2 linked regions of the Arabidopsis thaliana genome follow. The protein of the gene in region 2 interacts with the protein of the main gene of each other region in a pairwise test. Each region holds a gene or a part of one and is shown on either strand. Other genes may lie near its edges.

Evidence for each region. Proteins that work in one complex are often made in the same cells at the same time.
Region 1: the proteins of TON1A (region 2) and LNG2 interact in a two-hybrid assay, tested with the Arabidopsis thaliana proteins (one study listed by BioGRID).

Annotation. Positions count from the first base shown.
Region 1 is NC_003074.8:393,842-402,829, forward strand, and holds LNG2 (longifolia2), read right to left. Parts: upstream 6,120-8,988; 5' UTR 5,553-6,119; coding exon 5,396-5,552; intron 5,265-5,395; coding exon 5,212-5,264; intron 5,117-5,211; coding exon 3,476-5,116; coding exon of another isoform or gene 3,422-3,475; exon of another isoform or gene 3,384-3,421; coding exon 3,233-3,383; coding exon of another isoform or gene 3,201-3,232; exon of another isoform or gene 3,083-3,200; coding exon 2,367-3,082; 3' UTR 2,171-2,366; downstream 1-2,170. Other genes in the region: AT3G02160 (Bromodomain transcription factor), read left to right, coding at 774-1,967. UniProt on the Arabidopsis thaliana protein: In association with LNG1, regulates leaf morphology by promoting longitudinal polar cell elongation independently of ROT3. Associates with microtubules and recruits TON1A and TON1B to the cytoskeleton through its C-terminus.
Region 2 is NC_003074.8:20,378,913-20,386,375, reverse strand, and holds TON1A (tonneau family protein), read right to left. Parts: upstream 4,917-7,463; 5' UTR 4,765-4,916; coding exon 4,678-4,764; intron 4,485-4,677; coding exon 4,352-4,484; intron 4,247-4,351; coding exon 4,158-4,246; intron 4,056-4,157; coding exon 3,933-4,055; intron 3,433-3,932; coding exon 3,308-3,432; intron 3,215-3,307; coding exon 3,189-3,214; intron 3,094-3,188; coding exon 2,937-3,093; intron 2,842-2,936; coding exon 2,799-2,841; 3' UTR 2,498-2,798; downstream 1-2,497. Other genes in the region: TON1B (tonneau 1b (TON1b)), read right to left, coding at 183-228, 314-484, 571-695, 1,137-1,259, 1,364-1,452, 1,718-1,850, 2,159-2,245. UniProt on the Arabidopsis thaliana protein: Involved in the control of the dynamic organization of the cortical cytoskeleton. May play a role in the organization of microtubule arrays at the centrosome through interaction with centrin 1 (CEN1).

The DNA of each region.
Region 1 (8,988 bases), about 20 Mb from region 2:
TTGAAATTCTGTTTGATAACCTGAAAGCCCATCAACGCAAATAATTGTATCCTTTCTAATTATTACATCATCGCTGTAATAATCTTAATCTTACTATATATGAAAATAAATAATTCTTTTTATAATAAAGATTAATTTAATTTCCTTAAAAATGAAAAAAATAGTAATTGCCTTTAATTTTCTTTAAAAAAACTCAGTAGTTCCTCTCTATAAAGTTAACGAAAATCTCAAACTTGGAAAATCTCCCACCCTTCTTTTTCTTCGCCTTCTCAAATTGGATCGAAAGTTTTAAACTTGGAGCTGGGTTTTTGATTCGCATGCGAAATTTCCTCAATTTCGTTTGTTGGTGCTTTCAATTTCACTTCTTCGCTAGCATTTTCTCTCACTGTGTTCGCCGCCGATAGCTGCCCAAGTTGTGTCTGTTCTTCTTCCCCGGTGAATTTTCAGTGGATAAAGCTTTTTCTCCGGTAAAGCATTTTACTTCTCTTAATTGGATTCGTTAACTCTCGCTCTCGAGTTTGCTTTGTTGCTTTCTACTGCTTTAAATTGAACCCGAAACGTCTATTCTTAGTGACCGGAACAAAATTGATCTTTCATTAAGTTCAATTCTTCGTTTTTTAGTCACTTTTGGGTTTAGTATAAAATTGATTCTGATGTTTTATTCTCTCTTATTTGTTCTTAGGTGCCTAAGAGAAGACTTTCGAGGGAAAGATATTGGCTTTTGTTTTGTGTTCTGAGAGGGATACGTGTTGTGTTGGTTTTTCACTCAAGAGATGGTTCTACATGTTATGTTGGGTGAAGTTGTAACAAAGTTTTTGAATATGAACAATGGAGTTGGGGAAGGTGGAAGTCAGCAAAGAGAATTACATGGTAAGAGAAAGCTTTTCCGAGGCAATGATTTCGCTTTTTCCATAGCGAGAATGGCAGTGGCTCAGATATGCGAGAGTGTTGAGGTTAACCCGTATCAGGAATCACAGACACGTGAGGGTGTGAGGTTTAGTTCTTTTCAAGAATCTGCTCTTGATACACTAACTGATGTTGCGGTTCAGTATATTCAGAGCATTGGGAAGACTGCTCATTTGTATGCTAACTTAGCCGGTAGAGTAGATGGTAATTCTCTGGACATTCTTCAAGCATTAGAGGATTTGGGATCTGGTTTGGGTTTTGCTGGTGTTTCTGATACTGACCATTGTCTTGCTGATTCCGGTGTAGTCAAGGATATCATTCGTTATACTGGAGAAGCAGAGGAGATACCGTTTGTTTACTCTCTTCCTCGTTTCCCATTTAGTAAAGAGAAAAAACCTGCTCCTAGTTTCTCTGAGGTTGGAGCAGAACCTCCAGATGAACACATTCCTGTTTGGCTTCCTGCATTTCCCGAAACCGAATTGTGTGATCGATCAGAGGAAACTAATGCAGCCACAATCGAAGGAGAAATTCCTAGTAAAGAAAATGGTTCATCTTTACCGAGTATGCAACTTTCTTTCGATGGTGGTGGTAGGTTAGAAATACATAAATCTTCAAAGGATGTTGGAGAATCAACAGAAGCAGTAGTCGAAGGTAACCTGTTTCTAACTGCGCCTCTTCGATTTGTGGAGAAAAATGTGTCACCTGTGGTCCGCCCTTTGGAGCTTTCAAATGAAGTTGTTAGGACCAACCACGTTCCTGATAAGCATGTGAGGAACAACCATCACATCCCAATTCTTGAGGCATCTGCTCCATCGGATAAAATCAACAACAAGAACTGGTTAGCTATATCAAAGGATGTAGAGAAGGTAGATGTTGCAAGAAAAGAACTAACTTTGGTACGTTTCAAGATAGGGACTACAAAAAGATCTATGTGTTTGGCAAAAAATCGGAGCTTCCAGGAAGAGGGTTGGTTTCAAGAAGGTGAAGACAAGAGGGAGAAGACGTCAGAAATCAAAGAAAAGCGTGAAAGAATTGACTCGCAATTGTCAACTCAGATGTAAAATAGGTATTATGTCATTTTAGAATTTGCAGACAAAATAGCTTTGCATCCTGAGTTTAGTGATCGTTTGCAACTGGAATACGTTACTTTTTAGGGTAAGAAATGTTTACTAATTCAAAACGATGGAGAAATAGATGGTTGTTTGGCATTTAACTTGATTTGCAGTGAAATATTAGTTTGACAGACCAATAAATATGCTCTTTGCACTTTTTGGTATTATCTATGAACTTAAATACTGTTATTTATTAATTAGACCTGTATATATATGCTGGTTACAACAAACAAGTGGGAAGAGAACAGAACAGGCAAGAGGGCTGAAAACCCAGAGACTAAAGGTTCTCTTCCTCTCTAAGATAACTTCATTTACAAATCTAAGTGATAACTGATAACCTTAAAAAAATTAGCAGAAGCAAACTTCATTAACCAAGTCTCTGAAAATCATTCTCTCAATATCTAACACAATTCCTGGAGTCTCTCCTTCAAACTCCTTCAAGTTCATGCTTTGACTTTGCAGGTCCTCCCATATGATGTCTTCCTCGTCGTCCTCCAAGATACAGTTTGAGTTGTTTTGTTGTAACCTATCAATCTCTGAACACAGAGTCTGCAGAAGTTGCTCCTCTTTTGATATTTTCTCCAATTTTTTAAGTGGATTTGCGATTAAACGTGGTTTGATGCAGCCTTCTGCAGTGAACTTCCGAGCTAAAATCTCGTTAACGGTGTCGAAGACGAGTTTTCTCCTGATTGTCTCTGTTGGGTTTGTCTGCTGTTGTCTGAATCCTCTACCTCTGTGTTTGTTGTCCGGTAGAGTCACATTACTGGCCTTGTTCTGTTCCAGGATAAAGAACAGTCCAGGGTTGATCGGGAGGCGCGTTTGGTGCAGCTGAAAGCTTATCATGCTGTATTCAAGATCTCTTAGAATCCCTGAGGCCAACAATATCTCTAAGATGTACTTGTGGTTGCCGCTTTTGAAGTCTGCACCTTCTTCAGGTGAGCATTCAAAATGATCAGAACTTGGCTTCATTGGTCCCCGGTTACTCTGAGGAAATGGTACGGATCTGCAGAAGCTGGTAGGCTTGTTTATCCACTCAGATTCTTCAGAACGTAAGGCATCCTCCTCTGTGGCAAGAGAACAAAAACACGGTGAGAACTTTATACTAACCAAAACCTTGTGAATACATGTAGTTAATAAGCATCGTGAACACGTAATTGTTAGTATATATGAATGAGTCACTAATCAGTCTGAATGTTCTTTTCTAAGTGCCTCACCTTTAAAACTAAGGGATATCTTCCTCACAGGGGACGGTGAATCCTCTTCGTCGAAGACTGCATCAAGAACTGAAACAGGGCTCGGTTGTTCAACGGTAACTTTCAGAGGTTTTAGGGACGGTCTGTCTTGTTTGATTCCAAAGTCTGGACTCTACATTGGTAGACAGAAGAGATTCAGTTTATTGAGTACTAATGAATTAACTTGAGAAGTGAAGATACGTGAGATAGAGATCTATTTAGTACCCTTTGTTTGGGGGTGTGCTGCTCTGGGAAGTCACAGTTCCTCTCCAGCCTATGTCTGCTTGTAACCTCGATGTCAACATTCGATCCCAAGCTTATGTTGCTGTCAGACCTTAGACTCCTCAAGTCGCTCCTTGCATCGCTTAATCGGTCATCAGGTTGCTGAAGAGTACTGTGAGGTTTTATCATCTGTTTTCTTCTCGGAGAGGCTACCTCTGTTTGCTGCCTTCCGAGTTGCCTTTTGCCTGGCTCTGATTTTGGAGTTGTGGGTCGAGTCTGTTTCTCGAACCCGAGCTTTTTTGGCTGTGTTCTTGGGCTGACACTGTGCTGTTGGCTCCTACCTGACTTGGTCATGGAACCAGCATCTGCAGCCAAAGCTTGCCTCGACCGTACTGTTTTTGGGCTATTGCTCTTCGTGGAATCGAGTTGGCCCTTGTAAAGGCCTGGCCTTGGGGTTAAATCCATTGCGTTCTGCTTCCCTGAGGTGACTTTCCGGGTTTGTCTAGAGTTTCCAACCTTGACATTTGGTAGGGTGACATTCTGTGGCAGCGGAGAGGTGGAAACTGGAGCTGCAGATTTCATAACAACGATCGATGAAGATTTGAAGTTCCTGGCTGGACTTGTTGCAGCTGAAACTGGCTTGTGAGTTCTCTGCATAAGAGTGGTTGTACTCAGAGTACCGTCGTCCCTGCTTTCATCTATCAGCTGCTGCGTTTTCTCCATAGCCTCAAGTATTTGCTTAAGAGCTCTGAGATCTTTTCCCGACTTTTTGAACTCCAACTGCGTAAGCCGCTTCTGAATTTCACCATATACCGTCAGTGCAGAGTCTCCTGCTTTCATTTGCTTCCATGGAGCTGGTTCCATTGGAAACTTAGAAGCAGCTGAAGCAGGTATCCTCTTGATCGAATCTACGCTTCTAGATCTCTGTAGAGCTGTTGGTTCCACTCGGGACATTGGCCTTGGAGAGTCACAAAACCGGTTCTCTCTTCTCTGTTCAGTATCAGAATTGTCTGCAATGACTTCAAGACCCATCAATTTGGCAACAACACTAGAACTCGATCTCCTGTGAGTCATTGTTGCGGGTTCCTCTGGACAACTCGATCTCGCAGCATCTGCTCTCGGACTCCTAAAGGAATTGGATCTACTATCCAACGACAACCTCGGTGTCTCTTTCAACTTTGAACCCACCCTGAATCCGTTGTTTCTCATCTCCCTCTCATCATAAGAAAGCCGGTGACTTTCCTTAAACTTCATAGCCGCTCCTCTTCCTTCATTCCACTCATTAGAACTCCGACATGGTGAACGCAATGATGATTCTTTGAGAAGCAACATGCTACTTCGAGCTGAAATGGGCTGCTGCTGCTGAGTGAAGGATGCTTCTTCACCTCTAGTTCTAATTTCTCTATTAATAGAGCCTTTGACAAGCTCCTTTAGATCATACGGCATCATCAAGCCACCATTGGGCTGTTCTCTGATCAGATTCTCACCAGGCTGGTCAAATTGAGAAGCTGTGGTACTGACTTCTGCAGACGAGAAGCTAGAGGAGCGTGGAGAAGACGAAAATGAAGGTCTTGAAGATGATTCAAAAGAGACTCTATGCTTCTCTTTTGCTGCAGACTTCTTCTTTTTGGTACTACTCCTCTCCTGCAATCCCATAAAAGTCTCTGTTTCTTTCAGTTTGTGTTTCCTGAATTCTCATTCTTTAGAGACGAGTAAATAAACTGAGTTCAGATTCTTACCGTTTCTTTATCACTTTCCATGTTGGTTTCACCGACGCTACCTCTTCTTTCCCCTGCAAAAGTTAACCCCTTGTTCTTAGCTATAAGCCTATAACCATATTTTTGGTTCTAGTGAAACTACTCTGTTTCTTTGTGGTCCTAAACACTCAACTGAGATTTAGAAGAGAGAGAGAGTTTAAGTTACCTGGAGGCAAAGACTTCTCTGCGCCGCCGGAGACGGTGACTGGTGTCGCGGGACAATGTTGCCGGTAAAACACTTGAAAGATCCCATTCATGCATCCAAACTGTTTATTCAGATTTGGATTCTCATCTGACAAGTTATATAGAAGTTTTGCAGACATATCTTCTTCCTCTACTTAACTCTTATCTCAAAAACAAGATAACTAAAAAAACTTTCACAAACTCAAGTTTCTCTTCATATATATACTCTGTTTTTTGGAGTTACCAGTTTCTTCGTCTTTTTACTCTGCTCAGGGGTTAAAGATGTTTTTCTTGTGTTTCAGAGGAAGAAGAAAAGAAGAAATGGACAAGAAGAAGCCAACATTAACGACAAATTATAGCTTCTTGTGAAGTTACGAGCAGACAACAGATTAGGTTCCTCCGTGTTTGGCTTGGAGGCTACCTTGAAGAAGAAAGAAGAGAAGGGGGAAAAAAAAAAAGTTTTTTTTTTGTTTTTGGTCTTTGAGAGAGAGAGGTTTCTATCTTTAAAGGCAAAGATACAACTGTCAAAGGAGGCTTTGAAGTTTGAAGCATATATAATGTAATGCATGTACATGTGTTAACATATAAAGTTTATACATGTATGAGATTTTATGTATTTTAGTATTATATACACTAGTAATCTTATATATTCTTTAATTATGTCAGAGCTCTGAAAAATTCTGCTCGCCAAATAATGAGGAATCTGTTTCATCTCCTAAGATGATAGTTACGCACATGACAGCACAAGGCAACTTATTTAGAGAAAACAAAATTAAATGCTTTTTGAAATTCGGAAAAAATTGGTTATATTTTGGATCTATTATAAGAAATGTTAGGCATGTTTATCTATTCATTGATTTATCTCAAATTGTCAATGAATGAGAAATTGATACATTTTATAATACATATTTTTTTTCTCTCCAAATATGACTCTCTCTTTTTTTCTCTTAGAAGTTTTATCTATTTTAGCAAAAAAAAAAATATTTATCTATGAGTTTTGATAATTAGCTAAGTTAGCCTTACACATCCATGTGAACAAAATAATGTTGGTGGGTCTTTATAAGTCTTGGTGCCTCTTTTACATGTGCATGTGGAGTTTGTCAGGAACACACAGCATTTGATAATACATATATTTATCTTAAAGGATAATAAGAGATAATAAATAAAATTTGTATTCTAATGGCAACATAAAATCAAAATAAATTATTAGGGGGGAAAGTGGATTGGTGAACTGGAAGAAAGCTTGCATGGTCTGAGATTGGTGGGTCTTTCAAACTAGGATATTATTATTTTAAATTTGTCAATATTATTTAGTTATTGAAAATAATTAATTTTGGGTACTTTGATTCATAGACTTCAATAGTTTAGCGAGAGACTGATGCATAATAATGCATGCATATGCAAATGCAAGTTAAACAGTTAAAGCAAAATATGGATTCAAGTTTCTGCATATACGAAGGACCACATTTTTGTGAATATCCACAAACACTAAATATGGTTTGTCATAAATTATAGTTTATTAAAGAGTGGCTATTAAAAAACCACATTCAAAGTTTTGGATAATGTGTCGTGTATTAATGTGTGTTTGTAACTATGTCCACTAGGTGAAGATGAATTATAGGTTATTCAACATTATATTAAGTAAGAATCGATTCTAGATGTCGACACAGCTTATATAGACTACATCTTCTACTTTATATATACATACATGAATTTGGTATTGGAAACTGTATCCGATCTCATATTAAAAAATAAGCCAACTTCATTTGTTTGATTCTTTCGATTAAACACCAATAAATATCATGAAAGGAACCTATTTCTATAATTAGATGGCTACTAAGACATTATTGTGCAAGGTTCTTTTTACTCATACATCTCTTTCCTGTTGTTAAGAGTATGCGTCAAATCAATATAACAATAATGAATTTATAGCCAGGCATGCATAATTACTTTAACCAGTTAAAGATTGTGATATTTCAGCGCTCTTAGATCCCTAATCGAATAGTAGAGTGATTTATTTAGTGGATGATGTTTTAAGTGTTGTGGACAAAACCACAAGTTGGTTATCAAACTGAAGAAACGATTAGATCAAAAAGTTCATTACTTTCTGATTATTAAAAACAATTAGTCGGTTGCTTAATGTATTAAATAAAGTGCTTAAGATGATGTAATAACTTTTTGCATGTGAATCATTCAACATTAAGGAATCTGGCATATAAAATGAGGAAGAAAATTATTATATATATGGAATAAAGTCGTCGTCGTCTTTTAGTATTTTGTCTTGGTTGATTTGAGGGTTTATGTCCTTAGATGTACTAATCACAAAAAGCTTGTGGGCATATCACGTGCTTTGTTCCACAATGTGCTGTGAACCAGGTGGGGTTTGTGACTTCTTATCTATTTATTTTTTCATAACAAGTATATTGTTTGCTATTCATATAAAAAAACAAAATTAATTGATTTGACCTTGGAAGTACCGAGGAATATACTATTACACATGGGTATTAGGTTTTGCTTTCAAATATTGTACCATAATCAATTTCAAGCGCGTTACCTTTATGTATGATTTGATGGTTTGAATTCTTGGGTCGTTTTTCAATTTTATGCACTAATAACAATTTGTGAGTAACAACAGATTATAGCTAGCATAACCTTATTTAAGCTTACTGCAAATGTATTATGTAAACTTCATGCAATCTCTTGGTTGCTTGTGTTTAAACAATTTTGTTATCATTACCAAAGATTAACTAATCACTGTTTTAGAAACGAGAGTATGTGTGGGTACATAGTTAGAGATGAGCCACCATTTTTGGGGAAAAACTTTTGAGTGTCAAGTTGATAAACACATATATGATTATTACTAATTGACACTCATTTCTGCGAATAAATCTTATAACGATTCTTGGATGATATTGTGTATATAGATGGTTTCATGATTGCATCAAAGTAATAAACAGCGTGGTTAAAATGTTAAACTGTGAAATGAATGATAGATTAAAGAGATATACACTTCGAAAGACTATAAATAGCATGTAACCTTCAGAATAAACTGGTTGACCAGTTATATGACCTTTTTTCTTAGATAAAGATATGTGTAGATGAAATGCACCAAACATACTTCACCCGTTAAGATGAGATTAATCTATAATCTCGTAATCAAAGAAAAATAAAGGACAAAATTAAGAGGAAAAATGGGAAAAGAATAGACTAGTGAAAAAGAAAAGACAAAGGGAACAAAAACAAAGATAGAAAAGGGAACCAAATCACATGAAGCAATTGGGTATGTGACTTGAGTGTTAGGGTTGATAGGGAACCAACTAAGCAAAATGCATTTTAAATGCTAATGAGAATTTACTAAAATCAATCAAAAGTTAAGTGTGTATACTTTTACGTTAAGTTTCAAAGTTCAAGTTATCTAGTTCAATTATTGGCACATGATCCCACTTATCACCCACCCATCCAACATTTGTTTAATTTCACCATTAATTTCTGTGGGGCTTCTCTTCTTTGATTTTGACTGCCAGCATTACATACACATCTTTGCAATTTTGCATAATTATGCTTTTACATACACAT
Region 2 (7,463 bases):
ACGGCTTAATTGTAGTTGACATCTTATATCAATAATCTTTACTTCCAATCGGATTTCTCAAACACGACAAACGAAAAACTTAAGAAACAAAGTTGCAACATTTAAAACCATACATGAAAAAAGAAACACACATATATATGTAGAGATACTAATTCACAAGCTGGATTTTAACGAAAGCCTTATCAATCTTTCCCTTCTTCTTCTTCACTTGTTCCATCCTTCACATTCCTGAACCACAACCAAAACCAATGGATTAGATTATTTTTCAGTTCTATCCGACTTGTAAGGTAAGAGCCATGACGCTCCAAGTTACCTCCAAGACGATGTTAGGTTCCGAGTTTTCCTGTCTAGCTGAAGATTTTCAAGTGCTGTTGAGGCTCTCATGACTTCTTCCGGCATATCTTCAGTGTCATATCTCCAATTGCTCTCGTCTTTTCTGTACCCTGAGGTAGCGGCTCCCGATGCTTGAGATGCAGAAACCGACCTGCCCATTAATTAAGCATGTCAGACTCATAAGCAACATGGAAGATTAAAGATCGTTGATTTGGTAGAACATGGAGTTGGATTTACCGTCGTTGATGAGGTAAGCTATCAGAAGCAGATGATCTGCGAGGAGGATTTCTGGTGTCAAGGCTTAATGACGACTCGGTTTCTGACTCTCTCCTTGAACTACCACCCATGACCTGCGTCATGTTCTGAAGAAAAATGTTGATCACTAAATATGAGGTGAATACAGCAGACAAATTATAATGGTTTTACTACAAGAGGATGGAAACATAATCCCTGGGTGTGACAAGAATTGTAGGCTTGGAATTCACCGAACTTATTCAAAGCTCTGAAAAATTCTTTTCTTGAGTAAGACACTTTATTTACTTGGAAAAAATGTGAGGTCGTGAGCACAATGTAACAAGATTTGAACTAATTTGGTAATTGTAAAGCTTCGATGTAACCAACAGGTATTGGTCATCTTCACTTAGAGAATAGAGGAACTGTAAACATTAACGCCCTGAAATCATGTACCATAGCTGGACTATTGTAATGTGTAACAAATATGGTTGTAAAGCTTGTAAACAGAGAAAAAAAAAAAAGCTATACTGTATGTGTAAACATCTTCAGAGAGAAAGCAGAAGAAATACCTCGAACTTCAAGAATCCTTCAAGAACATCCAGAAGAAGCGGTCTACTATCTTCATTTCTGTTGAGCTCATAACCATTGTTGATACTAAAGTCACGTATCTCAGACTTCCAAGAATCTTTTGCCTTTGCATAGGTTTTCAGGGATCACAGCATCAGTTAGAAAGTTCATCTTCAACGTACTTAAAAGAAATATCAGAAGTTCAAAGAAAATGAAATATATTGATTACCGAATTGCATTCTGGTTGATAAACTTTAAGCGTGTGATTTAATTGCGCCCAGTCCAAATATTCACAAATCAATGCAGATAGCAACCTGCCTGCATTTTAACATTTTATAAAGTGATCAAGATGACCTACTCAACTACACAAAATCTCAATGTTCATATCGCCTAAGAATAGAAGCAAGCAAAGTTTCACCCGAAAAAAACAAGGAGACACATTTCGAACAAGCGAATATATCTAAGTATCAAGAAAGCATTTCCAAACCAAGACATGCCATTTAGAACCATACCATTCAAAGAGAAAAGGTCTCTGAAGGGTAAAAGTGAAGAGAAGATATGAAGGATAAAAATTGAGAAAGACCTGAAGGAGAAGCATGAAGCTGCCTTGCACGATCATTGCAGCTTCCCAACAAAGCTGGAGGCAGTCCTTCATTGTTCTCTATCACTCTATCCTCTTCTTCGATTGCCTCAAACACACTTGCACGGAGTTCAGCCTACAGAAACAACTAAAATTTCAGCAGAAGAATATAGAGAAAAAAAAACAAATCTTCAATCTCCAAACCAAATGTTAAAGAATCCAATTCAGCTGAGAAGGTACAATTTTTTCACAGACTCAATTTCAAAGTACGACAAAAACTGGGAATTCACATGATTCCAGATGCATAAAGTAGATCTGGAAGCACGAACCCTAGAAAAGCAATGTATGTTTTCTCTTCTTCTCTGTACTCAAATCTCTCTACGGAATTTGAATGAAGTATGTCACAGAACCAGAGGAATCGTGGCAAGAGAAAAACAAATATACCCGGATCTTAGCGAGAACACCTTTCTTCTCTAGGGTTCGAGTGACTAAGGTCTTGAGATCCATCATCTCTCTTGTATAATCGTCCATTGTTCTTACCGCCAATTTGACGGATCAGATCAAAATAACAGATTCCCTACTAATGCAATCGGATTATTTGGTCACCGGAGAATTCTACAATGCCGTTCTGAGAGAAGCTTTTGCGTCATCCAGAGTTGGCTTCTTCGATACTTTAGTTTAAAGTTTTAAACGAAGAAGCGAGAGAGAGAGAGAAGACTAAAGGGAAAACAAAAAAAAAGTACGAGTAAAACAAACAGTGAACACATCATTCAAAAACCTTGTTTATTACTAGAGACATAATAATTTTGGAGACACTAAAATAAGAAGCAAGTGAATGAAAATATTCAACCACATTGTGCTTTCTTTGATTCTTCTTTCTGAACTCTTCTCTTCCCATAACAAATCTCAAAAGAAAACATTTTACTGTTTCATGTTTTTTGTTCTCAAGGAGACAGAGGTTCGTGCGTTAAAAAAAAGGCTAATTGAAAACGCAGTTGCAAATAAAGGAGAAACATACATATATCACGTACACAAACCATTACTCTACTAATCCAGAAGCTGAAATGTTTATCCAAAGCCTAAATCAATCTCTCCCTTCTTCTTCATTTGTTCCATCCCTCACATTCCTACAACACAAGCAAGCCCGATGGATCAGATTTACCACAACTTGCTTTGTTTTCATTTCAATGTGGGATTCAATGAGACTTCCTTGAAAGCTTACCTCCAAGACGATGTTAAGTTCCGAGTTTTCCTATCAAGCTGTAGATTTTCCAGCGCCGCTGAAGCTCTTGTTACCTCTTCATGTGTATCTTGGTTACCTTGTCTCCAGTTGAATTCATCTTTTCTGTACCCAGATGTAGACAACCCGGCTCTTCTATCTGTAACATCTTGTCATATTTATTTGGTATCAAAAAATAATGAAGCATACGTATTTCAACCAATACTTCAAGAAACTAGGGAAATGATGACTCACCCGATGCTTGAGATGCAGAAACCGGCCTGCCCATTTATTTGAAGGTAAATAAAGCAATCATGTCGAAGAGTAACGATCTTTGATTTGGCATAATAATAAGAAGTTGAAGATATGTGTACCTTCGTTGAGGAGGTAAGCTATCAGAAGCAGATGATCTGCGAGGAGGATTTCTGGACTCAAGGCTTGATGACGACTCTGTTTCTGAATCTCTCCTTGAACTACTACCCATGCCCTGCGTCATGCTCTGAAGAAAAAATTCATTACAAAAAAAAGTTGATCACTACATCTGAGGAGCATACGGCAAAAACAGATGATAATGGTTTTAACTATGATAGGATGGAAACATGATTCTTAGATGTGAAGAGAACTTGAGGCTAGGAAATTTGCTAAACGTGTTTTTCAAATCTCTGAAGAACTCTAATCTCTACTAAGAGACTTTATTTTTCTTGGAAAACTGAATTTTACTATCTATAACTTCTTCTCTTGGTTGCGAGGACAGAGTACCAAGATTTTATGTAAGTTGGTGTTTGTAAAGCTTGGGTGTAAAGTATTGATCATCTTCACTTACATAATAGGAACTGTTAACACTACAACTCATAAATCACACATACTACAGGTGGACTATTGTAATTTGTTTAGAGTATGGTTGTAAAGATTGTAAACTAAGAGAAGAAGTTATAGATAGTAAAGTTCTGTTTCACACTTGGCTGCAAACATCTTCAGGGGAAAAAAAGAAAGAAATACCTCAAACTTCAAGAACCCTTCAAGAACATCGAGAAGGAGTGGTCCACTATCTCCATTTCTATTGAGCTCAAAACCATTGTTGCTATTAAAGTCGCGTAACTCAGACTTCCACGAATCTTTTGGCTTTGAATAGGTTTTGCAGGAGTTCACCAGATTAGTGAGAAAAATTCATCAACAATCTTCTTAATGAAACATAGCAAAAGAAAACGGGATTATATTGATTACCAAATTGCTTTCAGGTTGATAAACTATGAGCGTGTGATTAAGTTGTGCCCAGTCCAAGTATTCACAAATCAACGCAGATAGTAACCTTCCTGCATTTCAACAAAAATTTCAAACCAAGAGATGCCATTTAGAACCAAACCATTCATAGAGGAAAGATTTAAAAGGATAAAAGCAAAAACTTGTGAAGAAAAAACCTGAAGGAGAAGCATGAAGCTTCCTTGCACGATCATTACAGCTTCCCAACAGAGCTGGAGGCGGTCCTTCATTGTTCTCTATCACTCTATCCTCTTCTTCAATTGCTTCAAACACACTTGCACGGAGCTCAGCCTACAAACACAAATAAACTATCAGCAAGATTCCAGATGCATAGGCAATTAACAATATCGAGCATTTCGATCTGAATAGCAGGAACCCTAGAAAAAGAGTAATGTATGTATTTCAAACGAATCACTTCTCTGTTCTCATTTCCACTCAAAAATTTCTGCGAATAATGTATGGTAGAGAAGTAGAGGGAATTTACCCGGATCTTAGCGAGGACACCTTTCTTCTCTAGGGTTCGAGTGACCAAAGTCTTGAGATCCATCATCTCTCTTGTATAATCGTCCATCACAAAATCAAATCAAAGTAAGGAAAATTAGGGTTTCTGGGTGTAAAATTGGATTTGGCAAAATTGGGGTTTTTGGCCGTCGGGAGAGAAAGACGTTGAAAGATGATAAAACGAAAACAGTAAAAGAAAAATAAAAACAACACTTTTGCCAAATCATCCCCTTAAAGATTGATAGTTTCCACTCTCGTCCGAAATTTTAAATTTTGATCTTTTGCCCCCTATGATTGTGAAATGTTTCTTAAATGTTTTGTCTTATCTTCCTTTTTTGAACGAGAATATGATGTCAAGTTCACATTTTGAGATGTAACTCAGAGATCACAACACATTTGCATTCATGGACAGAAAAATCATGAAGTTCGGTCCAATATTGCCAAGCATATGATATGAAATGTGTATGAATCATATTAGTTGTTTGAGCATTTTCTAGTGATGACTGACTATTATTTGATATAGAATCTCAGAAAACGAATGAACAAATAAGCATTAGATTTTCCACTCGCAAGTTGGGTCAGATCAAGGGCAATCGCTCCTTCTTAGATTATAATATTGGATGGAAAGGCCTAACCTTGCTTGTCGTTGGAGTTGTATGAAACTTTGGTAACTTTAGTGTTACTCTAATGGATCAGTATCATCTAGTTGTACAATATTGACATACTACACTTACTAATTAAAAAAAAAACCAAATTAATTAGTTACATTCAAGCAAAATGGGAAAGAAAAAGCTAATGAGGATACGTGTTTACGAATGAGCATTTGAGTATCCAACGCTTTGGGTTTGTCAATGGGATGAATCGGAATAGAAGAAGGCCCAAGAAAGAAGAAAGTCCAAGCTCGACTCTTGTGTTAATTATTAAATACTATGTATTGCTTGTGATCTTATAACTTAAAGTAGAGAGAGTACTTGGAACTACTTTTCTTTCTTCTTGTAACTGTGTATTGCTTGTGGTCTTTTAACTTAAAGTGTAGTCGATTCTTCTTATAAGAAAGAAGCCAAGAAACTTATTTATAGAGTTTGAACCAAAGAATATGATCAAAAACGTATATAAATCCGATTTCTTCAGTTGTTTCTTGTTTCCATTCTCAGTTTTATTCACCTACTTCTGTTCTGCTTCTTTTTATTACCATTTTAGTCCAACGGTTATGTAGCTTAGTGTTTTCCATTTTGATGTCACATACTCACCCTCGCAAGTCTCACTTCCCTATATAGCTAAAAGAAAAGAATCAGAACTAGTTCAGGACTTAGGAGCACATGGTTTTTTGGAGAGGGTATTCTCGTCATTTTAAGCATTGGCTTTTGGGGGAAACGAGGAGGGGAAGCTACCACGTCGCCCAAAACTGTTCCCACATATATGCGTCAAACATTAAACCGAAAACGTTAAAACAATTTTTTTTCTTTATATAGAGATTTGACAACAAATAATAAAATAAAAATGCCCACCAATTATCAAAGAATATGGTTGAATCTTCAATTATTCAATTTTATAACGTGCTTCATGCGTTTCCACTCGTTTCTCTATCACCCCTTTTATAGATCTACTCTACCAACAAGCCCCATATTTATTAATCTTAGCAATCGCTTCTCAATCTCCCTCACATACAAAGTCCATAATTTTCTGGCCGGAGGCTAATCTTAGATAATATTTGTGTTTGACCTACTAACGTATATCATATTTTCCCCAAATGTATCATGGTGTAGTTCCTAGGTCTCGAATTCGGATCCAACAGAACCCTTCTAATCGATTGAACATAACCAACTATGAACTATATATATTTAGGTTAAATTAAAATTCTATCATGAATTTACTATATATGTGATGGAAAAAAAGATTCGGGATGAATGAGAAACTGGTTTTGAAGCTAGAATAGTTTTTAAAACACTTTAAAATCATGTGTTTATCAGATGTGGTTTCATAACACTATGTTCCTACTAAATACAAACATCCTAATTCGTTTTTTAAGCCAACAATATGAGTTTTATTCATATTTTAAGTCACAATCCTAGCTTAATATAAGACTTCAACAAAAAATTTAGCAAAAAATTTGGGTCCGAGTTGCAACCTACAAATAGATTGTGTTGTTTAGGTGTAGAAAATAGAGACTATAAACATAAGTGCATAAAGCACAAGGTTAACAAAGAAATTGACCCATCACTAGTAATATTCTGATAAAAATTTCAAAGCAGTTAAATATCAGAGATTTTTGCATATAGTACACGTTCAAGTATTTTAACCATTTCAAGAAATTTGAGTGGTAGACAATATTTCAATTTTCGATTGAGTAATAAACTTTGAAGTGTGTAGATGACTTCAAAACACATTATCATTGTGAATTATAGGGTAATACGTTATTGTGCAATGCAAGTTATTAATAATGTAAGAAAAAAGGTTACTCTTTTACCTATTGGAACTAGAATGAACAGAGATATTTAGTCTTACCAAATAAGGAAAGGCCGATTCCTTAAAATCTAATATTTTCTTGCATATCTGGATAAATTGAACGGCTGGGATTTGAGAACCAACTTATCATCAAATCTATCATAATTATTTGTAAAAAGAGAGATATAGATTTGGAGTGAGTGATTGGTGAGTGGTTGAATAATATGACAATTGACATAACCCCACTGTCCCTCTGTCTCCATTAAGGTTTCTCTCTCTTCCTACTCTCAATACAATAGTAGTAGTTGGCATATTGGACCCATC